Linked DNA regions of Oryzias latipes. The protein of the gene in region 1 purifies or fractionates together with the protein of each later gene. This does not show direct contact. Links are inferred from orthologs where the notes say so. Each region holds a gene or a part of one and is shown on either strand. Other genes may lie near its edges.

What was found.
Region 2: the proteins of mybbp1a (region 1) and ncl purify together in Homo sapiens (affinity purification with mass spectrometry; 3 studies listed by BioGRID and IntAct, with this or other methods). This does not show direct contact. The link is inferred for Oryzias latipes from reciprocal best matches to the Homo sapiens genes MYBBP1A and NCL.

What each region holds. Positions count from the first base shown.
Region 1 is NC_019872.2:24,952,435-24,968,382, reverse strand, and holds the end of mybbp1a (myb-binding protein 1A), read left to right. Parts: intron 1-2,210; coding exon 2,211-2,345; intron 2,346-2,473; coding exon 2,474-2,555; intron 2,556-3,942; coding exon 3,943-4,074; intron 4,075-4,159; coding exon 4,160-4,228; intron 4,229-6,793; coding exon 6,794-6,907; intron 6,908-9,227; coding exon 9,228-9,329; intron 9,330-9,409; coding exon 9,410-9,534; intron 9,535-9,704; coding exon 9,705-10,053; 3' UTR 10,054-10,253; downstream 10,254-15,948. UniProt on the Homo sapiens protein: May activate or repress transcription via interactions with sequence specific DNA-binding proteins. Repression may be mediated at least in part by histone deacetylase activity (HDAC activity).
Region 2 is NC_019862.2:11,714,949-11,729,834, forward strand, and holds ncl (nucleolin), read left to right. Parts: upstream 1-4,745; 5' UTR 4,746-4,908; coding exon 4,909-4,926; intron 4,927-5,932; coding exon 5,933-6,031; intron 6,032-6,111; coding exon 6,112-6,214; intron 6,215-6,511; coding exon 6,512-6,619; intron 6,620-6,718; exon of another isoform or gene 6,719-6,856; intron 6,857-6,944; coding exon 6,945-7,328; intron 7,329-7,500; coding exon 7,501-7,644; intron 7,645-7,820; coding exon 7,821-7,904; intron 7,905-7,948; exon of another isoform or gene 7,949-8,005; intron 8,006-8,083; coding exon 8,084-8,207; intron 8,208-8,652; coding exon 8,653-8,789; intron 8,790-8,877; coding exon 8,878-9,004; intron 9,005-9,139; coding exon 9,140-9,276; intron 9,277-9,444; coding exon 9,445-9,574; intron 9,575-9,616; exon of another isoform or gene 9,617-9,751; intron 9,752-9,985; coding exon 9,986-10,128; intron 10,129-10,317; coding exon 10,318-10,444; intron 10,445-10,592; coding exon 10,593-10,864; intron 10,865-10,946; coding exon 10,947-11,008; 3' UTR 11,009-11,695; and 1 more. UniProt on the Homo sapiens protein: Nucleolin is the major nucleolar protein of growing eukaryotic cells. It is found associated with intranucleolar chromatin and pre-ribosomal particles. It induces chromatin decondensation by binding to histone H1.

The DNA.
Region 1 (15,948 bases):
TTAAAACATTTTATGGATTCTTTGAGTCAGAGCTTTTAAATATAGTAAATTGCTCTCTTCAGACGGGGGTCTTCCCCTCTGCCTGTAAGACGGCGGTGGTGAGGCCCCTTCTGAAGAAGAGTCAATTAGATCCAAAAAATCTGGATAACTATAGACCCGTATCCAACTTACCATTTTTAAGTAAAATAATAGAAAAAAGTGTCGCTACTCAACTGCATGAGTTTTTAAATGCCCAAAAAATTTTAGAAAAATATCAGTCTGGTTTTAGGAAAAGCCACAGTACAGAGACGGCTCTTTTAAAGATCGTTAATGATCTAAGATTAAACTACGACTCACAGAAACTTTCTGTTCTGGTGCTACTGGATCTTAGTGCCGCTTTTGATACAGTAGATCACCAGATTTTATTAGACAGACTTAGTAGTCTAGTGGGCCTTTCTGGAAATGTTCTTAAGTGGTTTTACTCTTACCTGACAGATCGACACTTTTATGTAAGTATGGATATGTGCTCTTCAGGAATCCACGAAATAAGCTGTGGGGTTCCCCAAGGGTCAATTTTAGGGCCAATACTTTTTAATTTGTATATGTTGCCTCTTGGGGAGGTCATCAGGAGACATGGCGTTGACTTTCACAGCTATGCTGACGATACACAGCTTTACATCGCCGTGTCTCCTGATGACCTGGAACCTGTCAACACTCTTTTAAACTGCATTTTAGATATAAAGTTGTGGATGGCAGAAAATTTCTTACAGCTCAACCAGGACAAAACTGAAGTTTTAATCATCGGTTCTGAAGACAAGAGAGAGATGATTTTACCACATCTTCATAATTTTAAACCTTCTCAATGTGTGAGAAACCTGGGCGTACTTTTTGACTCTGAGCTAAATTTTATCCCACACATTAAAAATGTCGTTAAGACAGGATTTTATCATCTCAAAAACATTGCCAGAGTCCGCCCGTTCCTCTCTCTTGCCAGCACAGAAGTGCTAATGCATGCTTTTATTTTCAGTCGTTTAGATTACTGTAATGCCCTGCTCTCTGGTTTACCCAAAAAGTCTCTTTCAAACTTACAACTTCTACAGAACTCAGCGGCACGAGTTCTGACGAGAACCAGAGGGCGGGAACACATTACACCGGTTTTAAAATCGCTGCATTGGCTCCCTGTGCGTTTCAGGATTGATTTTAAAATTCTTTTAATGGTTTATAAATGTTTTTATGGTCTTGGGCCTTCTTATTTAAATGATATTCTTTTAAAATATGAGCCCTCGCGGACCTTGAGGTCTTCCGGTACTGGCCTCTTAGTTGTTCCCAAGGTGAGGACCAAAACTTATGGTGAGGCTTCGTTCTGCCATCACGGTCCTCGCCTGTGGAACGGCCTTCCGGAGAGCCTCAGGGCCGCAGAGACAGTAGAGGTTTTTAAGAAGAGGCTCAAGACCCACCTTTTTAATTTAGCTTTTAGTTGATTTTAACTGCTAATTTATTCTATTAGTTTTAGTATAGGCTATTTTATTTATGTATTTATTTTAATTTTATGCATCTTATTTTCAATTTTATGTTTTTTCTTTTTTATGTTTTTAATTTTAGCATCTTATGATTTTAGCCCCAGTGTTTCTTGAGGGGATCTTTTCCTCCAGGGCTTGCCGGCTTGGTCAGCGGTTGTTGCTGCAGTTGTTGCCCTTGCTGGGGCGGCTGGGGTCTAATTTTACAGCTTTTGGCTGTGAGGGGGACCCCGGTGTTGTCCCGGTCTGGGTGGGCACTGTGGCGATGTTCCGGTGGCCGGGCTGGCTCCTGGTATGAAAGGATTCCCAGATACTGTTTCCTCACAGCAGAGCTAAGCCATACTTGTTTATTTATTTATTTATTTATTCTTTTACAGTTACATAGTCATATTTCATTGTACGTGGGAGCCATGGGTCATGTGGTTTAATGGAGGGGTGTGGGAAGGGTGAAGGGTGGGTTGGGGTTTTTATTGTAATGTTGTGTGTTTACTGTTTTTAGTGTTAAAGCGCTTCGAGCTGCACAAAGTGCATGAGAAGCGCTATTTTATAAATAAAGTTTGAAAGTTTGATCTATCAGCAGAGTTTCTTGTAGTCTGAACTTAAATGTCAAACATTTGTTCTCCTTTTTTTTCCCCTAAGCTTCATTCATTGATCACATTTGTATTTTGAATGGGATGAAGTTGATTAAAGGGCACAAACATGTTTTTCTATCAGGAACCAGCTCTGTAGGTCTAAAAGTTACTGCAGAACCGCAGGTGACAGGCAGGGGGAGCTGCATGACCTGCTGGAGAAGCTGATGACCAAATGCCAGAAACTGTCCGACTCCTCGCTGAGTCTCTACTACTTCAGGTAGAATCCTGTCTCCACTGTCATTTGGAAAGGTTTAAAAAAATAGGCCTGTGGTAAAAAGAGACAGAAAGTATAAATTGAAGTTAGAGTTAGACTCCATGTTGATCGTGTTCCTCTCCTTTCCTCAGTGCATGCCTGTATTTGGTGAAACTTCTGCGAGGAGCTCTTCCTGTCGAAGCCAAAGAGGCTCAGAAACCCACAGGACACAATGTAGGTTTATTATTTGACTTCCTTTCATGTTGTTGCCTTGCTCAGATCATTCGAGTAGGGATGGGTATCGTTAAGGTTTTAACGGTACTACTACTCTTATTGATACTGCTTTTTGATCCGGTATTTTACCGATACTCTTATAAAATAAATAAATAAATATTTTATTTCTGTTTTCATTTTAATCTAAAACAAAAGTAAATTAACTGCAGGTTTCGCTTTACCTCGGGGTCAAAACTAAGGCCGTTCATACCTGCTGAGTGTCTTGGGTGCTCAGCAGTCAGGTCTGTTCCTGGATTTTTATTGGGTCATGAAGTGTCCTGGATTACTTGGCCTCCTTTTGGTTCACCTGTCATCTTCACAGGAATCTTCTCCTTTACTTTAGTATTTGTTGTTGCTTTAAAACAAATCCATTTAGTATATTTTAAATGTTCATTTGTTGAGGTGGAAAGCCTTTAGTTCAAAAACATTTAGTAAGTAAGTAAAGCTTATTTCTTTAGCACTTTTCCCAGAAAGGATGGCATTGCAGGTCAAAACTACGACAAGAGGTAAAATGCATTAAAGCAGGCATGTCCAAAGTCCGGCCCATGAGCCAAATGCGACCCGCATTCAAATTTTCACCAACCCACTGACTCCCTTCACCAAATGAATACTATGCGGCCCACAGCGCTTTGGAAAATCTGGTTGTACAGTTTCTTGATTGTGATTGACTAAATTCTATATTATATATCTATATTATACTATATTATACAGATGATTTAATTATTTTCACCTCTCCAAATCGGCCCTCTTTGCAAAAAGATTGGACATCTTTGCATTAAAGAGAAAATCCCAAAATTGATGTTCGATTATTTTTTTATTTATTTACTTGTTACATCATGAAACCAATGCTAATAATCTGCAAAAACAATAAGCGTAGTTTTTCTGAACAACTTTTTGCAAAAAGAATCTGTTTAACAAAAGCTGTCTGACATACGCTTTTGGAAAATGGGTGAAGAAAAGACATTTTCAACGGAAAAGCTTTTATTCACAAATGAAGAAAAGAGAACAAAATGAAACCTTCTGAAAGTCTTGAAAGAACAATAATATAATCAATCCTATTATCAGAGTTTATGACTCAACAGTCAAACAGAATTTCTTTTGGATAAAACTAGATCCATTTGACAAAAATAGTAGCTTGGTTGTTATGGGGTCAGATCAGGATTGTATTAAAGAGAATGAAAAACCCAGACTGTAAATTTGAGAAGAATTATTTTATGAAAATGTAAAAAACCTTTTTAACCAGAAAGTATAGATTGTAGACTATAAAGAAATAAATGTTAAACCTAAAGGAAATTTTGCAGCCCTGCTAGGTGTGAAGAAACCCTGACATGTGTCCCTCTCTGTTTAGCTGCCGTTCATGGGCCAAGTGGACGTGGAGCGGGTCACCGGTGTCTTCAGAGAAGCTCTGGTCTCTTTCCTGAGCAGGAGGAAGAGCCCTCTGACCTCTCAGATGTTTACAGACCTGTTCAACAGATTTCCTGTGAGTCCAAGCGTGCATTCATCAAAGCAAACCTAAATGTGGGTCAGGCTGCTGCGGTAACTGATGGCCGTGGGTTTTCGTGCAGGTTTTGTGTGTGAACCTGTTGGATACAGCCGTGCAGCACATCACATCTGGCATCAGGGACCATCAGCAGGTAAAAACCCATCATTCTAACCAAAGAAATGAGGAGAAAATCAGGCGGACATTGTTGGATTCCATAGATCATATTTGCTTTGGACCCTGGATCAGTGTTCCCCAGCCCTGGTCTTTGGGGAACACTCTCCTGCATGTTTTCCATGTTGCTCTGCTTAAACACACCTGATTCAGCTCAGCGTCAGGCTCTGCAGAAGCCTGATAATGGCGGCCATTAGAGGCAGGTGTGTTTGAGCAGGGTGGGATTGAAACCAATGCAGGACAGGGTTCCCAGAGGAACAGGGCTGGATAACCCTGTTCCAGAATCTCCTGATGAAGTCAGCACCTACATCCTATAGGGAGGCGAGTGTTAGAGGAAACCGCATGGCTTTTAGTGCTGTCATGCCTTTCATTTTTTGCTGCAATTAATCCTAATCTGTAATCAATTCATTGAATTAATCTGTTCTTAATGAAACATAATAATTGCTGCAAAAAGACAAATTTTGAGGTACTTTCATTTAAATGTATGATATTGTGATGCAGTAAAAGATGAAAAAAGAACAAAAAGTAGCTTTATGAAATTTTATTATCATAAACTTCCAACCTTTACTTTTAAGCATCACCAAGGTGTTTTTTTGGTTTTTGTTTTTAGGAAATTAAACACATCAATGAACGCTTTTCTGAATGAACCTTAAAATATTGACCCCAAACTACAAAATGAAATCCATAACATCCATGTTGACATACAATATTAAACAGTTTTTACCGTTCAATGCGATGAGGCCTCCACATACCCCATTCATTTATGATAAGGAACTGGCTGTATCCCTTACATAATGGATAACAGCATTAGGCGGTGTGGCTGTGTTTAGCGTTAGTTCTGTTAAGAACTACAAAGTCGCACATTGACGACGTCACCACAGCGACGCGGCACACATACCAACACGTGCACTCACACATTTTTAGCCCAGTTCAAATAAAATGTTCATGCAAGTAAACGGTTGTTTTTTATATTTGAGAACACAAAAATGAGATTGAATAATTAATCACGATTAACGCGATAAATTGACACACTGTGTGTGTTTTTATCTATTTGCTGTAAGCTATTACTATGAAATGTTCAACCTTTTATGTAATTATTGTGGGTTTCTTACCCTGATTGAGACAGGCTTATAAAATGACAGGGTAAAGGTTTTAGATTTAAAAAATGTAATTGTTTTTAGGCGTTTTTCTGTAGAATTGTATCCATTCAGGAATTATTATTATTTTTTAGCTCTGTGTTGGTTTTAGGGTTTAAGGTTACAGCTAAGGTGCATTTCATAGTTTCACTAATGGATTACTTTTTTGATAAAACAGAACAAAACACAAGATGCTTCTGAGTTTAATGAATAGTCGTTAGTGAGGCTGCAGCAGGAAAAACTGTTTTTTTTTAATTTCCCTCTATTGAACATCAACAAACATTTATTCTTAAGATTTTAGTCTTTACATTTGTCCTTTGCTTTGAGGAATGGTCTGGTTTGAAAACATTATTTTGACTGAAAGGAGGAGGATTATGCGCAGGTCACTTGTGTTTTGAAGCATATCCTTTAGTTTTGATTTATTAGGATTCATCAATATCTAAATAATCTTCTTCAAAAAAAGAACCAAAAACCCTAGAACATCTTTGTGTCCTTAAAATCAGTCTTAAATTTATACCAGCGAGTCCTCACTTTACTTTAGAAGCTTTGTGGTTTTAAGGTCAGTTTGGTCCAAATTTTCCAGTTTTTTACTAAAATCGGCCTTTCAGATGTGTTTTGTAGGATCTAATCAGTAATTCCAGCTCTTAAAATAAGACCCAGAGGCCCCATTATGCAGTCACAAGGCCCCCCCGTACTTCCCTTTCATTCATTTTCAGCCTTTACATTTCCCAGACTTATTGATATTAAGTACTGATTTAATGATAGCAGCAATAATCAGCATTAATCATTTGCTTTTAATTCCCATTTTTTGGTGCAAAAACATGATCTCAACACTTTTTTTCAGGGTTTAGAAAGTTTATAGCTTAAAGCAAAGTAACACAATAAATGTAAATTCATTTTTTTAAAGTCTTTTATGTAAATGAGTCTTTCCCCTTCAGCAACATATATAGTGAATCTGTTAAGCGAGTGCACTGAACCGCTCTTTTCTAGGGGCTAAATATCGCTTTACTGCTTAGGATTTGAGGTTTTTCCCTCTCAAGCACTTTAGTTGTCTATTTTTTACGCCCACACTAAAAAGATCCAAATGTATTAATGTACCCAACAACTACTTTTCTGTGATTTTAAATGTTAAATTTTATTCCAATTCTTTATTATGACCTCTGGAAAACCGAGAAAAGAGACTTGAATACTCAAAAAGGCAGACATGAGCTGTGTATGGGATTGGACTGGGCTCATAACCATCACATCTTTCTCCAAAAGATTCTGATAAATACGTTGAGACTCAGAAAATACCACAACAGTAATGATTCACTGATGAACGGATCCCATCCTTTATGCAAACCTCAGCAGAGTGACTCACGTTGGTTTGTTTCTGTGCCCTCTGTGTGCGTCTTGCTTTGTGTGTTTAGGGTCAGGCGTGTGTGTTGGTGCTGCGAGGGATGCAGGCCAGCGAGGTCCGGCAGCTTCTGAGCGGCGCCAAATGGACGGCGCTCTGTCAGAAAGTGTCCGAGCAGTTGTTAGGGGTAAGTTTCCTCAGTTATCCACCGCTGAAGAGCATCGGCATCGTCGGAAATGTACCCAAGAATGAGCAAGAATGAGCCTCCCTCTGTCAGCTTAAGAAATAAAAAAATAAAAAAAATCTAGAGTTTGTCATTTTAAAATGTAGACGAATTTGAGATTTGTTCTCTAATCCTCTGAATCTGATTAAATTCACATTTTCTGAAACTAAACGTTCTCAATCGTTGAAACACCATCATGCCTTTGGCTGTTGAAAATTTCAATTATATTAGTAAAGAAAGTTTATGAGACCTCTAGCTGCTGTGATTAATGATAGGAGGCAGCGATCCACTCTCTGCCCTCCGTGTGTCCTCTACCTTTCCACATTCCAGGGTGAACACACATCTAATTACGCGCCTCTGTAAATCCTTCCTAAACCTCTTCACCTCTGCACGTTTTTCTCAATCTCTCAGTCCACTTTTCTCTGAGTTCTTGTTCATTTGTGTCTAAACAGATCAAATGCTTATTTTTTGTGTTTTCCAATAAACAGCCACTCCAGCGACGTCTGAATGCTTTTAATGATGAAAAACAAAGTGCTTCATTTGAGCGTCAAGCTGCTTTTATTGATGTGTCATTATGAGCATAGACTGGATGTTCTTGTCATTCTTTAACAAACATCCATAAAATCAGATCTTCATCAGACTCTTGTTTTCTGAGAAAGGCCATTTTTAATGATTTCAAGGCATCAAGCTGATGTTATTTTACATCAGCTTGAAGTTTAGCACACACTCTAAAAACTTTATTCACAATGTAAACCAATTTTTTTTTCGCCCTAACAAAGCATCTGGGGTGTTTCTTCGTCTTTGTTGATCCAGGGCCTCTTCTGATTGGCTAGCATGACCACACTTCCCCTTATGTGTCGCCTGTCTTTTAATTGGCTCCCTGTTGCTCCATAACCCCTAACTGCAGTCTGAGAATATTAGGTTATTAGGTGTTGTGAGTCATTAGAAACCCCCAAAAGATTGATGCTGTGAGGGAGACTGAGCATCAATAAAGGGGATAATACCTCTAAACCAGGGGTTCTCAAAGTTTTTGTAGCGGAGGGCCAAATTAGGAACTTGACGTTAGACCGGGGGCCAATTTTGGTGAAAACAGAAAAAAGTCGTTTTTAATAACTTTAATGGCCAAGTGTCATTTGTACAATTAACCAGGCCCTCCAGATGTTTTCCCCGTTGCGGTCGGAGGTTGCTGCCCGCAGATCTTCCACTCGTTTAGTAATTATGTCATTTGACAGACTTTTTTCTTCAAACCTTTTCTTTCAGCATACATTCTTTTTACAAACTCCCCATCACTTAAGAGCTTGCTACAGCTAGCTTCTGTCACAGCGTCACTGGATTTAGCCATTTTTGTAAACCTCTGGTGTGCAGCAAAGCCTCGTAGTTGTTGGAGCTTATTGTTGCGCTCCTCGACGGTAAATTTGTCCTAGTTTTTATGATTTGTAATTTATTTATATTGATTTATGAGAGCATCGATTCCAATTCTTCCTTTCGCAGAGGCGGTGACATAGAAAATGTTGTCTGCCCTCTTGTGGTGAAATTAATACACTGTACCGTTAACACAGAGTGTAATTACCTGCAGATGTCGCCAGAAACCACAAAACAATATTTTTCCAAGCAATGTTCAGCTGGTTCAATAACAAATCAATTAGGATTAATTAAGGGCCACAAAAAATCTTCCCGCGGGCCGCCATTGGCCCCCGGGCCGCTTCTTGAGAACCCCTGCTCTAAACACACCATGCTATATTTGTTGTTATAGTAATAATATTCCTAATAAGTTAATCAAAAAATATGTTGATGGTTCTGTCGAGATTAAATATCTGTGAGCAGTTGAGCTGCGTTCACCACGTTTTTGGCAATGCACATTCAAGCGGTTATTTTCAATGAAAAGTCTATGTTTGCACACATAAATACGAACATAAATACACGTTCTGCGTTCAAACCTCTTGCGTTCACGCGTAGCTACGCACAATTTGTGAGACCATTTTTGGCCTCTAAGTATGTGACAGCAAAATCCTTCATACATCGGAACAGAGTTGTGAATGAAAAAGCCTGGAGCCAGACTTGCACTGCTTTGACATTTTGCACCAAGACTCTTCCAGCTGTAGGTGGCAAACAAGCTGTAATAAACAGTAGAAGAAGAAGAAGAAGAATCCCCTCTCTGCTTGTCAAGTGTGAACACCATGCGTGTTCTTGAATGTGTGTCACATCCTCAGCGTGATTGTAGCATTAGGCTTTTTAAACAGAATTGTATGACAAAAATGGTTGAATTTGTTTAATTGTCTTTCAGATTCTTGCACAGGCTGACCAAATTGAGAACAAGTTGGTAAAAGAGAAGATGGTCAAAGTCCTGGAGCTCTGCCAGTTCCTGATCAAAACTGTTCATCTGCAGGTAGGTGGGATGAGATCATGAGGGGATAAGAGTTATTACGGTCACTGTCCAGACTCACTGTCTGCCTCCGCCGTCTGTAGAAGCTGTCTGTGGACCTGGACTCCCTCCAGACGACCCTGCAGTCCCTGACCAGCACCGCCTCTTTGAAGAGCACCGGAAAGCTGGAGGACACGTACTGGGCTGTGATGAAGCTCTTTGGAGTGATGTACGTTCCGCCAGTGTCCTTTTAAACCTCTCTACAAATGCGATCCTCATTCACAAGCCAAATGAGCAGTATATTTGCCCTCCTGACAGCATTTCTACTCACACTCGCAGTGTTTTCCCCTGTTTTTCAAATCCTTCATGATCACCTTTACTCTTTTCCAACCTTTCCAGGAAGCCCAAAGTTGAGAAAACGAAGCCTGACAAGGAGCCGGAGCAGAAGCAAGCTCTCAAAAAGAAAAAAGGTTTTCTGCCAGAAACAAAAAAACGCATAAACCGCAATAAACCTGCTTTGGAACCAGCCTCAGACACAGCAGCCCCCGCTAACAAACCAGGAGCAGAGAAAGGACAAGCCAAAAAGAAGCATGACAAGAAAAGCAAACAAAAACGACCTGCCAAAGGTGCTGGGGCTTCAGAGTCCAGCCCTGCCAAGAAGAGCAAAACACAGTCTGACAGCAACCCAGCCAAGAAGAAGAAGAGGAAGAAGAAGCCCAAGCAGATGAAAGAGGGAGGACAAGTGTGATGCTGTTTGAGAGGACACAAAGTTCTGAAACGTCTTTTTAAAAAGACTTTCTTTGTTTTTCAATTCTGAAAAACATTTTGACATCTTTAGTGGAACTTTTGCTCTGCGAGGTGTGAAATGAGAGGATATTTTTCCAATGAGTGACTGTTGTTCATTAGAAAATGTCTACAATAATAAATGTATTTCTTCCTGGAAATTGATTCAAAGCTCTTCATCCTGAACAGCTGTTACGTCTAAAGAAAGACAACCTCAGACTGTAAAGTAGTGTTTTCTACTCTTATACAGACATATAAGGATAATGAAGCTGATGGTGGAAAAACATTTGATTATGTGCATTTCAGCAAATAAACATAGCAAAGAATTATTTTAGGAATTAATTGGTTTAAGTTGTGAGCTGATAATTTCTAGAAAGGGAGAAAATGTGAACGTTTTTGTTTTTGATGCAAGCAGCATCCAAAAAACTACAAAGAAGAAAGATCCAAATGTTAAAATGAATGACTGAAAATTTAAAAATCCACTCCAATCATCTTTTAAATCTACTTAAGTGTTCCTAATAATGTTTTAATTACGATTACGTCGGATTTAGCCAAAATTTAAATAAAAACTGTCCCTTTCTAGAACATAGTTTCTGTAGAGCGGCAAGAGTTCATTAGAAATTCACTTGTGAGTTTCAGCCTATTGCATTTTCTACATCACAAATTAGCTCGTTTTCCAACTGCATTTTTTTCATCTGCTCCTGATTCACAGTGATTTGAACAAATAAATACTCAGAAATGCAGTTTTAAGCCAAATATCCTTAATATATGCTCTTCATCATAAGAGAAATGCCACAAGAACATGTAGAAAACACAATTTTTATCAGAAGGGGCCTCTAAAGATTAAATTGGCAAATAACAGTGGGTTACTGTTGGTGTTTCAATGCAACCCACAAAGGAAGTCAATTTTAACAAGATTTCTGAATACAAATTTGACATTAACCACATAAAAGTCCAGGATTCTAGTACAGGTGTGTTTAAATAAATTTTTTACTAATAAGACAAAGAAAAATGCTGCAATAGGAAACGTTTAAATTATTTGAAACTACAGTTAATCAAGTTTGGAAACTAAACCTAACTTGATAAAGCAAAATAGGTCGCAAAAATCTGAACGTTGTTTTATTTTTTTTGTCCAACTTGCAAATGACAAAGTGAAAGCAAAAGAAATTTTCCTAAACACTCACTCAGGTACAAAATATTTTTTTAACATGTTTTTATGGCATTTTTCTGAAAATATAGGACATAAAAACTGCATTTTTAAGTATTTCTTTATCCAAATCGTTGTGACTCAGGAGCAGATGAAAAACTCAGTTTGAAAAAGACCCACAAGTTCTCTGCTCCGCTCTATTATGATGCATCCACTTGCAGACAAATAGATCCATTTACGTCTTCGTTTCTAATGAATTGCTGCTGCTCTACAGAAACTATGGCCTAGAAAATGACACAATTTTGTTGATTTTTTGCTAAAAAAAAACAGTATAATCATAATTAAAAAACCAGTGGGAACACTTTGAAAATAAATCAAAAAAGGATTGGAGTGGGTCTTTAATAACAGAACTCAAACAACAATGGCAAAAAAGAATTTTAAAAATCTTTTTTTAACAAAGTAGTTTAGGCATTTGAAAAAGGAGTAGGCACAAAACCATCCATCCCCTATGCTTTTCATACACTTAAACTCTTCAAAAATATCACCACAACACACTCTCCATGAACAAAGGAACACTAAAATAACAGTTTTTTATGCTTATCCCCACTACTGTGTTCACATAATCACCATTCCCTAAACTCCTATGTACCAGCCAGACTCATCCATCCCCACTGTATAGTGACCAAACTGTTTTCTTTTTTAATATGGCAACGTTTGGACTGTCCTTGTGTTTGTTTCCAAGATCATTCCATATTTTCATCCCACACACAGACACACAAAAACCTTTCTACTCCACAAATGAGTTCAGTCATTGAAGGAGATTTAGGTGTTGGAACACAATCTGTCTGGAAAATGGCATGCATCCCAGTTGATTTGAACTTCTTTGTCTTTTCAAATATTCTATTTTATTATAAAAAAAAATTGTGAAATTAATTGTAAACGAATAAGCCTAAATATTTGCTCAAACCTCTGAAATAAAAAAAATCTTCCCAGCTTTAATTTGACATTAAATATTTTTTCAAAGTCAATATTTTTCAGGAAAAAAAATCATATTTCTTGTTGTTTTATCTAGTGAGAGCATTCCAGTGCATCCAAACCTGTTTGTCTTCTAATTAGTTACATTTCATATGACATCACTGACACACAAAAAAAAAAAGATTTTATTTAGCAAAATCCACAGCTGTGAAATCTAAAAAATCATCTTGCATGCTATAAATTCTGAGGAAAAAAACACTATCTTAGCTTACATTATCTTGTTGTGAAATGGAAGAAAATTGCAAATTTATGCAAAGTTATTCATCTAGACTGTAACCAGAACTTTTCACCTCTTTTTCTTCTTTCCTCTCGGGAGCACAAAAGCGATGCTGTGAACACAGCTATACGTTGACACAAAAAAAACAAATTAAGTAAGCGTTTGGCCATTTACACATGGCCCAGAGCAACACTGATGCTTATTTTAAAGGCGTTTACATTTAGAGATGTAGTTTTAGACCTATATTTACGTTTTTTAAACTATTTGGCTGGCAAATCCAGCTCTAAAACTAGTAGTTACGTTTTGCCAACAGTTCAGTTTGGTTCTAAAGTTAATTATAGAGGTTATTTGAAGCAGAACTAGCAACATTTTTAAAGAAAAATGATGGGTTAGCTTGTTTAAAACTAATTTTTAAGCAAAATACATTAACAAATTTGTACTGCAGAGCCAGAACTCCACACCTTAAGAAAGAGAAAGCTGTCCCCTAAAAAATATGAGCTTCCCTTTGTGTTAATTGATTTTTGTGAGGTATTTAAAATCCTGGCAGTGAACAACTGCTTTTAGATGCTTCATTTTATAGCTCATGAGGGAAGGAAGCCAATACAAAGCCTCTTCTTCTATCCTCAAGTTTGTTTGTTTGTATTGTGACTCCTTCCTGTTTCATTTTATTCATAGTTTACATAAAAATTGCATTTCTGTAAATTTTTTGTTTACTGCATGGCACAAATTTAGGACAGATTTGAATGCAAAATACTGAAAATAAAAATGTGAGACTCCTGAAACATGTTTATGCCTTTTTAAAGTGTGCACAGCAGAGCCAGGTTAAAAGGCCTGTCTGAGGAGGAACAGTGTGCACCTGCCATAAGTTCTGCATGCTGCACAATAAAATATGGCCTCTCGTCTTTGTCATCTAATTAGCAATAATTGCTCTAATTGCCGAACCTCCTAATCCTTAATCACAATTTCCTGTTTGCTTCAGATTACAAAGCAGATCTTAAATTGACTTTGAATAAAGTGAAATGTGCAATAGTATCATAAATGCGAAAGAAATTTTAAAAAATTCCTGAAATTATGTTGTATTTTTATGTTTTACAAACAATAATCTATGGGCTTCTTTAAATAAAATGGAAATCATTGGTCCAGAATGGAAAGTCACCTCTTTGTTCCACAAAGGCTTTTATTTTTATTAGAAATAATGTCACTGCTCTTTGCACGGGAGTGGAAGTTGCAAACCTTTGTGTCATAAACAAAGGTAAGCAATCGCACAGAACCTTAATTCCACTGTCAGAAAAATGATCCAGAGTCCCCTAAATGGATTACTGTACGGGACATGAAGCCTTGCAGCCATAAATCTACAGGAGTGTTAGCAGGCAGCCGCCCCATCCATCAGTGATCTCATCTTCAACTCCCTCTGAACCGCAGTAACTGTCAGTGGAGGGAATCGGCTCAAGTCTGACTATGTTGAATAAACCTTGTGTTTTGTTGTTTGTTTCCATAATCCCAGAGCTGTGTGTCTCAAGCTCTCAGGAGCTGAACTATACAGGAAAACCTCTGAATCAATCATGACTTTACCACATAGACAGAGGGACTGTGATTTGAGTTTTTCGGCCCATCTTGGGGGTGGGGGTTATTAAACCTTTGTTTATCTCCTGTCTCCAGCATTTGGCTTGACGGTAAAAGCGTTGAAAATAAATCACTGCTTCTTCAGCACCAGACAACACATCGCTTTACAAGAAAAGCAGTCAATTTATGACAAGACAGGAGAACAAATCTGGCCCAATAATTATGATGTCTCACCATTTTAAAAGAATTTATTTTGAAACCCACTCAGATGAAAATGGTGTTTTTAACATAACCTTGTGGTATTATTTCTGAGGACGGAGGTTATATAGTAGGAAAATGAAGCTTAAAATTGCATTTCGGCGTATTTCTTTATTTAAATTGTTGTGAATCAGGAGCAGATGAAAAAAATGCAGTTTGAAAAAGCTTGTGGCTGTGATATCGACAGGTCAAAGTCTCCCTGCTCTGCTCCATTCTGATCCATCCACTTGTAGACGACTAGATCCTGTACATCTTTGCTTTTTCTGCCATGGCTCAAACCTGTATGGCTGGATAGTTTCAACGCTGCTATGTGTAATGTTAGGTTGGGGTTGTGAGGGGCTGTAATCTAGCGGCTGAGCATGTAAACAGACAGCTCTCAACAACAGGGAGGGAAAACGGTGGCAAACTAGTGCCACTCTGCAGAAACTATGTCCTACAAAATCACACTGGTTCTTAGAGTTTGGCTAAAAATGGCATAATCGTATTTAAACTGGGAACACTTTGAAAATAGATCAAATAGATCGAAGTGGGTCTTTAAGTGAAGCTCTGGCGCATTCTGGACGGTTCTCCACCCGGAGCAATGCTTTGTAATGGTTTCCAATCACCGTCAGTGTCTACCAGTGGCGGCTACTGGTCTGTCAGAGAGGGGAAGCTCATGAATGAAAGAAGGAATGAATGAATGAACGATCTAAAAAAAAATAATTAAACTTTGTAAAACTGAAACAAGGAATGTGGTGTATAATTGTGTGAAATGTATGATGAAAATCAAGCAATTTACCCAAGCAAATGTCAAAAAAATAGGTTGCAGCAGTTTTTATTTCGACTGAACTTGAGAAATGCGCGATGGGACTGAGCGCGAATAGCTTCAGTGATTCCTTATAGTACAGAATTGCTGTCAGTCAAAAGGAGATGCAGTCTTTCGACAGACCCTCCAATCATCACACAGAAGCTCGAAGTCCGGGCCATCCCACTCCCCATTCACCCCCAGAGACGATGAGCGTCCGTGGGCGGGACATAATCGCATAATTTATCCAATGACATTCTAGTTTTGAAGCGCTGAAAAAAAAGGTTCAAAGCAGCCCCATTGAAGTCAATGGACGCTGGGCTTCAATAGGGAAATGCACTGTGACGCTGCGGGAATGTACGAGAAGGAAATCGAGTCAGCCGACCTGCTATATGTAACTGATTCTGAACGAACTCGTCTTTGAGATGAACGTTTTCTAACAAAATTTTAGTCAATAAAATGTTAATACAATAGTACATATTTTACCATTAATTTTGTGACATTATAAGGGAAGCCGAGCTTCCCTTGCAGTCTTAAAGAAATCGCCACTGGTGTCTAGTCTAAAGACAGTGCTCCAAGTTCATCCCAAGCACGTTCATTTGCATTTCTAATCTCTTTTCTGACTGTAGTACACTTGATTTTACTTTGACACTTTTTTACTGCTTCTATGTAAAACATTCCTTCTGTGCCTTTCCACCGGTGAAGTGAAAGAGTCACTTTCTAAACCAACTTTGATCTGAAAATGTTTTGGCTCAGACCTGACTGTTATCCGTGACCCTTGTGCTATCCTAGGCACTTTACCGTTGTGAGCTGGGTCATCTAGACCCACTAGGCAGTGCGCTGAATCTTTTTTCTT
Region 2 (14,886 bases), on another chromosome or scaffold:
ACTACAAGGCTGTATATTATTGCTGCTGCTGTACATTCAAGTACTTCATCTCCCCCTGCATAAATGTATTTATGTTTAAATAATATTTATATGTTTATAAAAAATATATTTATAAATGTGTTTTAATTTATGTAACAATTGTAAAATTGATGCAAACTGCAGGCCAATTCTGTTTGTTACATTTTCTGTCTCAAATAGTTGTGAATGTTTCAGAAAATGATAAAACCATAAATTCACATGCACTCTTATGTCATCTCTTGGTCTGTCTGTTTCCCTCACAATGGCACATTTTGGACTATAAAAAGTTTTTTTTTATGGAATTAGTCTCAGCACATGTGATACTAAAAAGTAGTAGGATATCATTTTACCTTCTTCAACACAGCAATTTTTGGTGAATAAAAAGTAAACAAGCTTTTTAGGTTGTTAAAAAAAATAAGTGCCCGGGTCATTGTCTTTGATGAACTTTTAACAAATAGGATTTAGGTCAAAATTTGCAATAGAAGTTAATGTAAAATGTGTAGAATTGTGACCAATAATGACTTTGAACCCCTTCCGTGCTCGTCTTTTTATCACTTTTTGCAAAAACATCCCCAGACGTTAGCAGTTAGCTGTTCATCATTTGTGTTACACATCATGCACATGCAAGTTTTTATCCAACATGGCATAACACAACATTTTGGAGGATCCTGAACATCAAAAAAATACATTAAAAAACCATGACAGTAGCAGCTCATTTAACCTTCTAGTGCCATACAACAGATGCATACAGGAATTTGACAAAGAATGCAGCCACATGTAAAACAATGCTAGAACAGTGAAGATCAGGCTCTTACTTTAAAAGTTTTGTTACAGTAACATTTAGGATTTGGATCAAGATTAAGATTTTGATGCCATAATTTAAGAGATTTATTGATATTTATCAAGTTGATACTTATATTGAACTTTGCAAATATGAAGATGTGCGGTGCCTGTTCAACACAGTTTCCAGGGCTACAGAATGAAAGAAAAACATTCAAATCAATGTGCTAGCTGTTCGAAAAAAGGAAAATATATGACAAAAGCAAGTCTACAAAATGTCTTTTATGAGGAAACTGTGATAATAAATTAACCATTAGTCTTTAAGAAAGGTTGTTTCATAGACTTGAATGATGCTCTATTACAAAAGGTAATGGAAGAATCATGATCCTTTTTGATCATGGATACATTACAATGTGTCAGACCATCCTTTACTGCTTCCATGTATAAGAATTGTGTGGACCATTATATTCTACAGTCTGCAGAGAAAAACAAAACTAACAAAAGAAGCTTGTTAATGTCTTCTTCACAACAGATGATGTAACAAACAGCTTAAGTGTTGTGATTAAAAAGAATAATTTGTCTTAAAATACAATCTATCTTAACACATAGCATGTGCCCATAGTACAGAGTTATTAACATGTCAGATAAGGGTCCATAAAAACTTCACAATAAATGTGTTGCTTACTTTGCTCAAATTTGAAATAAGAACAGTTAAGAAAAGTGTCTCCAAAAATTAAATGCACCATAGTGTAGTCAGTATACAAAAGCTCCTGGTTAATTTTATGCTCCTTTTGGGTTTTGGGGATTTCCACAAGCCTGCATTATAGGTTTAAATTGTGGTTTCAAATTGGCCTTAGAGTGTATAGAGTGTAGAGTGTATGCAGCATTGTGAAGAAATTTTGACCGTAAAGCATTTCTGTGCTACAGCATTATGAGAAACACCAAATCTAAACCATATTTTAAGGATCCACACACAATTGATCAATTCCTTTAAAACAGAAATGTTTGTTTTTACTTTGACAAATCAAATATTTCAACGTGCAAAACCTAGATGCTTTAAAAATGAGTTTGATTCCATACTACTACAAAATATATTGTTCTTTACAAATATCAATATGTCAAATGGCTGTACCAGTTTCTCTTGACTGACCTGACAGATGTAAAGAAAATTCACAAATAATGGTTTCAACAAAAAATAAATAAATACAACTTTTTGTTGTTTTTTGATGCATTAAACATGACTATTCATTTTTTTAAACATATTGCAACATATGACATCTCAGTACTTTGAACACATTAGGAAAAAGATTCTCTTTCTACAAAACTAGACACAGTGTTAACACTGAAGCTCTGTGGTGAGATGCAGATGTAAAACGCAATGCTGCCTCTTTGTGGTGTTGAAGGTTAATTACTCAGAAGTGCTGCGTAAGTCCCCCTGGCTGTAAATAAATTACTCATCAAAAAAATCATAAGTACATAATTTGAATATTTTTTGGTGACTTAAAAACGCTTTCATCTGTCGCAAAGAAAGGTTTTTGTAACTCACAGGGAAAAAAAAAACACAGAGAAGCTTTTCTTTTATTCTAGAGCCATTTTTGCCTTCTCTTTCTTAGGTTTCTGTGCTGTGTTATGCTGAGAGTGAAAGTATTTTGTTTTATTTATGAGCTATTATGACTGTTGTTTGTCACCTCCCCTTCCCTAATATTTATACTTCCATTTCCCGTACATGCTTGTTACGTTCCTGACTTAGGAGATTTGAAAAGAAGAAGGCGTTACATAAAGAGGCTTGGGGTTCACACACAGTCGACTGGCTAATAACCAACATGGTTGAAACAAGAGCCACTGCCTTTGCAGGGCAATGACAGTTCTTTTATGTGGCTGTTGATCCGTTGCCGTTGGTGTGATTGGATGCCATCGTGAGCATTAGGTGTAGGAGGCAAGTCCATGACTCTTTTACCCCAGCAATCCAAACTTTCATAGACACACAGAAAGAGTGACAAACACACCCTTTGATGATGCAAAAATCCCCCAAAATCCCCCTCTTGAAGATGCAAATCAAAAACCATTTTTATTTCCTGGTTTTGATTTTTGCAAGCCAATAAACCAAACAAATGTGTGGGTACTCATGATAGCCAATAGAGCATAAGCTCAGGTAGAGTTACGGGAATCTGGACAGGGCATCATCTACCAAGTTTCCTGAGCCTTTACTATGTTAAAAAACAAGGTTGAGCCCAGCGCATGAGACACTGTTTGTGATTACGCATGTGCAAGAGAAACACAAGTGGGTTATGTTAAATGCAAACAACAACTGGATGAGAGCTTGACACCACCAGGACTGTAACATTTGACAGACATGTTTGTGATTTCAGCATTTTCCAATAGTGAATGCACTTTGCAAAGACTAAGAGGAAAAATGTCCTCAGGAGTAAGAATCAGAGGGTGAAAGTGATGACTTGAATTGAAAAAAAAGTAGAGTTAAAAAAAAGTAATATATACAGTCATTGCAGCCATTTTTAACAGGCAAATGAGAATATAATTTAAAGGAAGTAAAATAAACATGTATACTTGTTTATAAGTGGCAGTCCGATACCATAGTTGTCCCCCCGGACAAAAACAAACAAAAAACCCCATCAACATTGAAATTTCTTAAACATGACAATTATTCCAGTTTAGTCAAGATATCATTCCGTTTAGGGTCAGATTGCCCTAGAACACTTTCACTATAAAAGGTTCCACCATCACTTCTGCTGTGTCATTTTTACCCGATATGATACATCCAACAAAAAGTACTTGTCATAAAAAATAGATCAAAACATGAAAACACATGATAAATTAGAGTGGTTTTCTTTTATTTTCAACTATAGTATGAATAACAAAATGAAAAACAAAAACTTAAGAAGCTCCTAAAAACATGATCAAAAATTACTGAAAAATTAGGAACTTGAGAACCAAAAATTCCTAAAAAATGATCAAATTATATTAGAAACTTGGTCTCTGTACCACCCATTCCTGGGACATGTGAAATTTCTTTGGTGAAGGCAGAGACTCCTTGACCACACGAAATATTGAAATTCATGTAAACAGTTTTACTCGGGTGAAAATGTACCCAGCGATAGTGCTTTAGATAACAGCCAATATAAGTAATCATTACAGGATTTTCAATGTGGTGACTAGCACTTGTACATGTGCGTTAGCGCTGAAATGATTAAGTTAAGTGAAGGTTAAACTTTTAAAAAAAAATGTATATTTATGATTGCAAGAACTATTTTGAAACAAACAAACAAAACTTTAGGAAAAAGAGAAAAGCAAACGAAGAACTAAAACAGAAGGTTCCCATAGCAGTCAAGTGTTGAGAGAAGACAGGTGGCATAAACCATCTGGTACAATCCATCTGCGCACATGGGATACAAAAGACCTTTTATGTCGGCTTAGAATTTAGCTTCGTGCGTAAACACAGCTTAATATCTAATACTTGCCTCAACACACAATAACAGCACTTTGCAACTGCAATTTATTTTGCAAAATATCGTTTCCCCACTTAAAAACAAAGCCAGGTTTCTACATTGCATCATTTTATCACTCTTTTTATCATGGTGTGTGTATGTGTGTGTGTGTGTGGAGGGGTCGGCATTGTGCGGATTTTAAACCAAACAATTTTTTGTCTTGTCCCTTTTTTTAATTTGATTATAATTTTATGCATAGCACTTTGAGTGACCTGAGTTGTAAAAGTGCTATGTAAATAAGTTTGATTTAATTGGATATAGTTACCAGACATCTAAAATGAATTATAATATTAACAATAATTAAAGAGAGAATGTTTATTCTTTTACAACTGAAATTTGCACTTGTACAGCAATCCGTGACGTTTATTATTTTTTTGTCAGCGCGCGGGCACGATGCAAAATTACCAACCTTTGATTGGTTAAGCGCCGTCATGTGGGCGGAGCCTCGTTGGAGGGCAGACCTGACCAAACGCTGTTGCGGATCCTCTGTCTTTCTCGTTTAATGTCCCACTGAGTAGACAGGGCCACGTGCATACAAGCAGTTTTACAAGTTGCATTCAGAGATCCAGATTCTAGTGTTTCTTTGAAACACTCTTCAGAAGCAACCATGGTGAAGTTAGCTAAGGTAAGATTCTAAATTGCAAATTGTGCTGTTGTTCTGTGTTGACGCAAGTATTAGATATTAAGCTGTGTTTACGCACGAGGCCTAAATTCTAAAAGTTGATGCGTTTGCTAATAATAAAACTGCTATACGTGCCAAATGTCTAATCGTGATTTCAAAACTAGGTTCGAATTGTTATTTTTGTAAATAAATTAGCTATTTGGGGAGAAACGTGGGTTCCCTCGTTTTTAGACGTCGCTTTTCTGTCGACAGCACAGCAGCCATGTTGGTGCCTTGCTGTGGATCGCAGGCCGAGCTGGGCCTGCTAACGCTAGCCCTCTACTCAAGATGGCTTTCACGCTCGCCCTCGATTTCAACTTGAAGAAAATACTTCCCCGTCTATCGATTTTCGATGAAAATTGTATTTGAAGATCGTTTGTGTTAAGTCAATACAGTCAACGATGAGATTAAGTAAACTTAATATCGTATTAAAATATTAGTGTATATTTTGTGACGCCATTCCCAACTTAGCGTAAATGCATATGTTTAGTCTTGGTTGATGGCTCCAAATTTTACAACATAATTTTCTATTTTATGATATGGTAGTTGAGCAAAAATGTTTTAAATTCGCGTTAGTTAGCACTAAAGGTGTTTAAAAAAAAAAAAGCTAGCGTGCTGCTACTCTGCCGGCCTCCCCTCCCGTGGCCCACGTGGGTCGCACGAGCTCTTCTGACTGATGCATGAGGCCAACAACGAAAACCCAGAAGTATTTTCGATGTGCAGTGTAAACATTTAGTCTTGGTATGTGTGAATCAGCCGAAAAGGACTTTAATTTTTTTGGCGTTTTTGAATGCTACGATAAGGACTGTCAAACTATTTTTCCACCTCGTGTTAGTTAGCATGTGGACCATCGTGCGAGCGTGGTATCCGGGATGCCATCATTGTCACGTGTTCCTTACAGCCTTTACTTTAAAAATGTGTGTCGTGGCAATTTTTTATTATTAAACCCATTTTTAACTATATCTTCCAGCCTGCAAAGCAGCAAATTCAGAAGAAAAAGGCCCCTCCACCCCCTAAACAGGTAGAAGAAGAATCGAGTGATGAAGACGGCAGTGAGGAGGAAGAAGAGGTAAACCATTTTCCTCCTTTATTACAAATTTTGGAATAATTTTACCAACACCCACTTACCTTTTTCTCACTTTTTTTAAGAGTCCACCACCTAAAGTCACAAAGAAAGCCACCCCAGCTAAAGCCACACCAGCTGTAAAAAATGGAAGCCAGGCTAAAAAAGCAGAAAGTGACGAGGATTCAGGTAAACAAGTTCTGTATATTCTATTTTAGACATATGGGTTAATTTAGGTTAAGATTATTTTACAACTTCATCTTTTAGTGTTTTTCTTTTATTCAAAGTGATTCATTGGGTTGATTATTTGAAATAGCATATCTTTTATATGTATAAATCAGTAAGGTAGTTTAACATTCTATCAAGATTGTGGGTTAAAAACTTTAGAATTTGCCCTGTGTCGTTATGCGGCATCATGCACACATGTAGTTTGTAGGTGTTCAATTTGTGAAAAAGTTTTTCATAATGACTCAAAATCATTTACAGAGGAAGAGTCTTCTGAAGAAGAGGCTCCACCCCCAAAGAAGGCACCTGCAAAGGCAAAAGCCCCCGCCAAGGCTGCCCCTGTTAAAGCACAAGAGTCTGAGGAGGATGGTATGTAGAAGCTACTGTTTTTTAACTATGTATGACCACACCACTTTACGTTACTGGTAGGCTGTTTTTGAGGAATGTTTTAGAAAAGTTGTTGCATCTCCTCCATTTCTTGGCATACATGTGGTTGTTTAGTACTCATGTGTGTTATGTACGGAGGAAAATCAAAGGCAGCGCTATGTCTTCGGTGCCGGTGTGTATTTGAATCATCCGGTTCTATCCTCAAACGCTGTCACATTGGTTTGGTTGGAGGGGAATTTTCGTGTTTATGCTGGAGACGTTTTCCATTTTCGCTCAATAGTTTTGATTTCTTTTTTTAAATTCCAAGATGAGTCTGAAGAGGAGGCCCCACCCCCCAAAAAAGCCAGCAAGGCTGTTGCAAAGCCTGCTGCCAAGCCCCCAGTAAAGGCTAAGCCTGCAAAGGAGTCCTCAGAGGAAGAAGATGACGATGAGGACGACGACTCAGAAGAAGAAGCTCCACCTCCAAAGAAGGCTACTCCTGCAAAACCAGCCCCCAAAGCCAAGGCAGCAGCTAAAGCAGCCCCAGCTAAAGAGGAATCTGATGATGATGATGACGAGGAGGACGATTCAGAAGAAGAAGCTCCTCCCCCCAAAAAGGCTACTCCTGCAAAACCAGCCCCCAAAGCAAAGGCAGCAGCTAAAGCAGCCCCAGCTAAAGAGGAATCTGATGATGATGATGAAGATGATGATGGTAAGTCGGCAAAACAAGTGTCAATTAACTTCTTTAACAAATATGATCAAACAGGGACTTAATACTGATCATGTATGATGTCACCACTTAAAACATCTGACAGACATGAGCTGTGGAGCTCTCAGGGGTTTGTTCAGGATGGAAAACGCATCTGCCTTCTTTTACTTTTCAGACTCTGAAGAAGAGATGGACACCACTCCCGCAGCAGCTGCTACAAAGGGAAAGAAAGCTGGAATGGTGAAGGCCAAAGAAGAATCAGAGGAGGAAGATGATGAGGATGAGTCTGAAGAGGATGATGAAGAGGAAGAGGGGGAAGGTGAGTGTTGATAAATGTTGCATAGTTTTAAAGCATAAACTCACGGTTAAACTAATGCTAAGACAGCACATCATGAATATAAGTAACAAATATTTTTGGTCTCGATTTTGCATTGAAAAAAAATTAAACATTTCCTGCATACAACTTTGTACAAAGTCTTTTTTCTGTCTGAACAGAAGCCCCAGCTAAAGCTGCAAAGAGAAAGGCAGATGGAAAGAAAGAACCAGTTCCTGCTAAGAAAGCAAAGTCTGATGGAGAAGGCAAGTACAGACATGTTGGTTTATCATTCTGAAGTTTATTTCTCATGATGATCAACAAGGGACTTAATACTGATGTGTGATGTCACCTTGAATTATTCTGAATATGCTTGGCCTTATTCTGCATTTATTGCTTTCACCCACATTTGGATTGTAAAAACTGTTGTTTTGTGTTTTTCCAGGCTTCTGCTTGTTTGTTGGAAACCTCAACTCCAACAAAGACTTTGACGAAATCAAAGCCTCGCTCAGAAAATTCTTCTCCAAAAACAGTCTAGAGATTGTTGATGTCCGGTTAGGAGGTTCCAAGTAAGTTTAAAAAAAAAACACACACGTCTTGCCCGGACAAGAATGTGTGTTAAAACCTGAGATGTAGGGGTGTTTTCCCCACAGTCATTTGGGAACCTTTGTCCTTTTAAAGGTCTTCCTGGTCATTGCTTCCTTTCATGGCTCACTTGTTTTAACTCAAATAAATATATGGTTACCCCGGTTTCAATTGCATTGCACCACAAGTTTAAGCTTTTTAAGAGTGTTGTTCAAAATGTTTGTTGCTTGCTTCACAATGTGTGATATAGCGATCCTGCAATGATTCATTTTTAGGGGTTGGAGAAGAGCGACTGAATTCAAGACAACTCAAATGTTTTTGTGATCTTAAATAAAGAAATTCACGAGTTCAGCCAAAAACCTTTGATGTTCATTTAAGGTAGATTTAATTTGAGGTCTAATTTTCTAATTTTGCATCTTGCTTCAATAGGAAATTTGGCTACGTTGACTTTGCCTCAGAGGAAGACATGAACAAGGCAATGGAGCTTAATGGCAAGAAATTCATGGGTCAAGAACTAAAGCTGGACAAGGCCCGTCAGAAAGATAACTCACAGGAAGGAAAGAAAGGTAAACATGCACCTTTGCAAAGTTTGTCTGCTAAATGTTTGAAGTCTGTATTATCAGTGTTTTTCTAAAATTGATATTGGTTCTACAGAGAGAGATGCGCGGACCCTTTTTGTTAAAAATCTTCCGTTTTCTGCCACGGTTGATGACCTGAAGGAATTGTTTGAAGATGCGGTTGATGTCCGGTTACCTCAGGGACAAAACGGTTCAAATAGAGGGTAAGAAAAAACTCAATTACAGAAGTCACTTTTATAGTTTGAAATCTTTAAAATAACTTACCAGCCTTATGCCCAATTGTTTCTAGTTATATCTTACCTTGTCCTCATATCAGCTTTTCTGTTTCTTTAATGCAGCATTGCCTACATTGAATTCAAATCTGAAGCTGTCGCAGAGAAGATGATGGAGGAGGCCCAGGGAGCCGATGTGCAAGGGAGGTCCATCATTTTAGACTTTGTTGGAGATAAGAGCCAAAAAGGTGGCAGAATGTCAGGTACTGAGTCCTGTATTGATGATATGTAACTACCCAGAACTGTTAGTAAAATCCTTTAAATATATGTACTCAGTAACTGGTTCAAATGCTCAAACCTTAAAACCTGCTTAGGTGTGATGAAAGTTAATTGGGAATTGAACAATTTCTACCCTTTTTGTTGCCGTTTAGCATCAGGAGGAGTCAACAAAACGTTGGTTGTAAATAATCTGGCCTTCAGTGCCACAGAAGATGTTCTACAGTCTACGTTTGAAAAAGCAGCTTCCATAAGGATTCCTCAAAGGGACGGCAGACCTAAAGGGTAAGTGCTGGAGAAGACGGTTATTGTTTACAATTCTAGAGCACCTTCTCATGAGCTCCTCTCAATCGCATCCATGATTCTGTACGGATTCGCACGAGAAGCAGAGCCAGTGCACAGATCAAAACAGGCTCGCCCTACATGCTTATGGGTGTTGCCCATGTCTGCTGTGCAACAAATATTTTGATTTGATGAATATTTGATAAAATGATAATTTAAGAAAGCTGTTTAAACAGTTGTAATAAAATTGTACCTGTATAAATTATTGTTTTCAATAAAAAATCTTTCTAGTGTTCTCAGTATTTTCAGTAGCTAAATACCAATTGTAATAAATTTGAATGTCAATACTTCATCAATCAGAAGCAGCATTCTGTGTTGCCTGGTAATAATGTTAGTTTTTTTTTTTTGCTCTAGTTTTGCTTTTATAGAGTTTGAGAACGCAGAGGATGCCAAAGAAGCATTGGAAAACTTTAACAACACAGAGATCGAAGGCCGATCAATCCGTCTGGAGTACAGCCAGAGTGGCGGAGGGAGAGATGGAGGCAGAGGAAACTCGGGTAAGAGCTTAGTCTTTGGATGTAATCCGGAAAGATTTTACCTGATATGATGACAATCTTGATCTCTTGAAACTCTGTGAAGAATCAAAAGATAGTCAAGTCCTGATCTGGTCAATGTTAGATCTTTAAAGTGGGTCCATTTGTTTTGTTGATTATTTTAACAGATTTTGATTTTATCCTCTCCATCAGGTCCAACAAAAACCCTCTTTGTCAAGGGGCTCTCAGAGGACACCTCAGATCAGACGCTTAGGGATTCCTTTGAGGGAGCTGTTGGAGCCAGGATAGTTACAGACAGAGAGACGGGGTCCTCCAAAGGGTAAGTTGGGTAGATGCAATGATGGGCCTTGATTTCCAATAAAAACCTAAGAAGGAGCTGTTTGGCTCATGTGAAGTTCAGTTGGATCATCTTTATCTGTTGGATCTGAATAAAACTGTAAGCTCTAAGGTGTGTGTTTCTTCTCCAGCTTCGGCTTTGTGGATTTTGACAATGAAAATGACTGCAAAGCAGCCAAGGAGGCCATGGAGGATGGAGAGATCGATGGCAGCAAGGTGACGTTGGACTACGCCAAGCCCAAGGGTGAAGGCGGCTTCCGCGGAGGAAGAGGCGGCGGTGGCGGCTTTGGGGGCCGCGGTGGCGGCTTTGGGGGCCGCGGTGGCTTCAGGGGAGGCCGTGGAGGAGGCAGAGGAGGAGGAGGAAGGGGTTTCAGCCGTGGTGGTGGACGTGGTGGTTTTGGAGGTACGGAGAGAGAAAAAGACATCTGGATCACCCAAAATGTTTTGCTATCAGTTCATTAACCGTTTTTGTTCCTTCTATTTAGGTGGAAGAGGTGGTGGATTTGGAGCAAAACCTCAGGGGAAGAAAATCAAGTTTGATGATTAAAATCTGTGTTTTACATTTGAATGGACTCTGTTTCACCATCTTCTGAACTTTTGGACATTCCAGGAAGTGTCATTGATTATTTAACGGTAAATGGGCTTTTTTGTTTTTTGCCCGTTTGCATAGACCCCTCACACCTACTGTACCCTGTGCCAGAAGCATACTTTGGACCTTTTTGAGCTTTTCAGTGTAAAGTGTGAGGACTGAATGTCCCAGAAGAAAGCCTGCACTCGTTTCCTACCCAAACAGTCTTTTGCTGAAGGATTGAAGTGGATGGAGTCTGGCAGGAAGGGTTGTGAGAGAAAAAAAAAGGAAAGATGCTTGTCCAGTCAGATATATGGTGTAAATTTAAGCAGTTTGTATGATTTAATTTTACCTTTTTTTGTACAAAAAACAAATTAACTCATTTATCCATACATTTTTGTTTTTATTTTTGTCATGCTTTCTTTAGATGTTAAGTTTTACTGTTGTTTTCATAGTCCATGCTCAGAAGTTATTGGATGTTTGTTATGGTTGTTAAACGAGGCTGTGACTGAGTCATGGATAAAATCTAATCTATGTAACAAATGTTTGTAGAACATTGAGTATTTTTTTCCTCAAGATTTTCACGATAAAAATAAACCTCATAAGTTGTGATTTTTAAAGGTTTATTTTTATTTTACATTTCATTAAATCTAAGTAAAACTTGCAGTTTTGTTCATTTGAACTTAAGTTGCCTGGTTTGAAAAAAGCTTAAAATGTTAACAAAACCAAACATGTCCTGTTTTCAAACGTCTCACTAGGGGGCATACTTGTCATGTTTTAGGATTTGTGCTTTTGTGTAAGATTCAGCCCACAAATTTAGTGTGGAATAAGGTAATGGAATGTTACAGATTTAAAAGTAAGATTAAATCTTGTGCAAATTTAAATTGAACTCTGATAGAATTATTGCTTTTATAGGGCACATACAGCTAGCTTCTCAATCCACACAAATTCAAATTTGTTTTACGATAATATACTGGTAATAAATTGGTCTATTTTAACCAATCAATGCTAAATCAAGAAATATATGAACATGGATATGTCAAGCTGAAGATATGAACTGATAGGAAAATGAAAACATGTATATATAACAATACTTTTATGTATCGTAAATGCCATTAAAATTTAAAGCCAAAGGCTTATCTGCATTTGAAAATATACAGACACGGAATCCATCAAATATTAAGTCGTCAAATAGTTTGATTACTTGATAGGGAGTGGGAGTAATCACCTGTCAAATATTACCTTCAGGGACTTTGTGCTGGGAAACGACAATATCCTTATGGGAAATCTTTCACTTAAATCCTAAATAAATGATGACAAATCTAGGACATTTGTCTAAAATCACTCAATATGAAGAAAATAAAGAATTTCAGTAAACGTCCATGAGAAACAGTGAGGCACAGAATACTATCTGCATAAATGTTGAAACTGGTTCTGTCCAGAGTCCCACACTATTACTTTGAGCACTACTTAAGTCTACATCTATGGCTTTATCCAAGTTCCTTTACTACTCCCTATAGTGTGTTTGCCATTTTCTCACTAGATTGGGGAATATATACCACAATTCACTGAACAATTTTTGCGAAGGACATTTTTTAAATTATTTTTTAACAAACCGTTTTCATAAGTAGTTGTCATAAAACGCTCATTTCAATTAGATTTTCATTTCGTAAAATCAGTGATGTCATATTCGCCATTAAAAAAAACAAAAAAAAAGTAGTGAGCATGGTTTTTGGTAGTTAAGGATTAGGGTAGGAATTCAGGCACATCATACAATTCTAAAAACCAGTGACAGAATTTTCCCAGAAGCCAATGCAAAAACTAGTGTGCATTGATGCTCACTAGTTGCTCACAATAGTGAATACAGACCACAGTGCATTGAATTTTCTAATTTTTGTTTTTATATCATCCAAGTTTTTTATCACCACACACCGGATTCACAAATAGTCTCTGTAAAATGTTCACATTTATTAGGTTCTAACTTTAGCAAATGGGTGGCGTTTATAACCAAAAAGTTGTGAGTGTGTGTCTAAATTTCATTAAAATCCAGGGCACTGGATAGTCCAGCACTATATAGTCTTTTAGGAGATACAGAGTATTGAGGGAAATCGGACACAGCATTAGACTTCCCTCTGATCCCCTTTGAGCGACCCCTTCAGGGAAATTGGATTTCCAGAAGCCTAAATACAGAAAGCAGAAATTGCACATATATGCAAAAAGTACTTCATACATTATTTTCTTTCTCTTTGTTATTGGGAAGTTGTAAAGTTTGATGGCATGGGGAACAAAAAATGTTCTTTTGTCTGTCCTACACCTCGGGAGGAGCAATGTTTCACTGAGCAGAATCCTCTGTTTGGTGATGATGGTGAGCACGGGGTTACTGTCACGTCCAGAATGTCCAGCAGTTTGCCCTATATCATGTCCTTTCTGCCATAGTCAACAGAGAGTCCAGTTTCATGCTAACACCAGACCCAGCCTTCCTGACTGATTAACTTGTCCAACCTAGATGTGTCATTGAATGTGCAGGCGCCTCAGCACAACAAAGAGAACATTACAGAATGGTCAAACATCCTCAGCAGTTTGCTACAAATGTTAAATACTGCAGTCTTCACAGGAAGTACATCCTGCTCTGTGTCTTCCTGTACAGCTGGTTGGTGTTAAATATTCAGTCCAGTTTGTTATCCAGCTGAGGTATTTGTACTTTTCAGCAGCCTTCATCTCAGCTCTCTCTAGCAGGAGCGCACAAGGTCTTGGTCTAGATCTCCCAAAATCAATGACCATCTCTTTTATCTTGGAAGAGTTAAAATCTAGGTGGTTGGTGTTGTAACAAGCAGCAAAGTCTTCTACTCCTCTCTGTCACCCTTACTGTCACCCTTAATGCACCCAACAATTGTTGTGTTGACAGTATACAGTTCTGAGCTGTAGAAGTTAACGATGTACGGGGTGAAAAGAGCAGTAACCCTGAACCCCGTGGGGTTCCAGTGCTGCATACCAGTGTCCTTCCCTCTGATGCACTGTGGCCTGTCAGTGAGGCACCCAGTCCTCCTAGCAGGGGTCTGGAATGGTTCAGAAAGAGGATTTTCACTGTTCTAGGCCTCTCAGCCAGATGGGAGTGGACTCTGTGTATCTGGTAGAGAGTTGCATCCTCCACACATACGCACCTGGTTTGCAAACTGCAGGGGGTCATGGACATATTGCACCTGGAGGCAACCCAACTGCTTTTGGGCAGAAGGCGGGGGGTGGGAAGGGGTGGGGGCACACTCTTCATCACACTGCACCTTCTGTGACTGTGGTAGATCTCTGATTGTAATATCACTGGTTTAGTTCCTCCCATGCCCGACCATGTGTCGTAGTGTTTTTTTGGCAAGAAACTGAAACCCACATTGCTCCTGGTGGTGCCAGTGTTTGGGAGCGGAGCTGCCATCAGATTGTGAATGGGTGTCTGCATGGGTAAACAGGGCTGGGACTATAAAGCACTTTGGGCCTTCAAGGAAGGTAGTAACGTGCTATTTTGTTTACGTCATTTACCTTTTACCCTGAAGAGGTCGCCAGTCCGTTGCAGAGCCATAGGACCACAAACACACACTGACATGCACACCTAGGGGCAATTATAGAGTCATTAATTAACTATGAAACATGTTTTTAGACTTTGGGAGAAAGCTGGAGTGCCTGGAGAAAAACCCTAAAATGCTTATTTACAAAGTAAGGTCCCAGCTATGACAAAAACATCCATACTTAAAATGCTAAGTTTATTCAGTTTAACTGACATTAGCTGGTGACTGGGTTTCATCTGCTCAACAATGACCCTGAGCTTTGGCAGCTTTTTCATGTCAGTGACACCCCCACATGAGGGACAG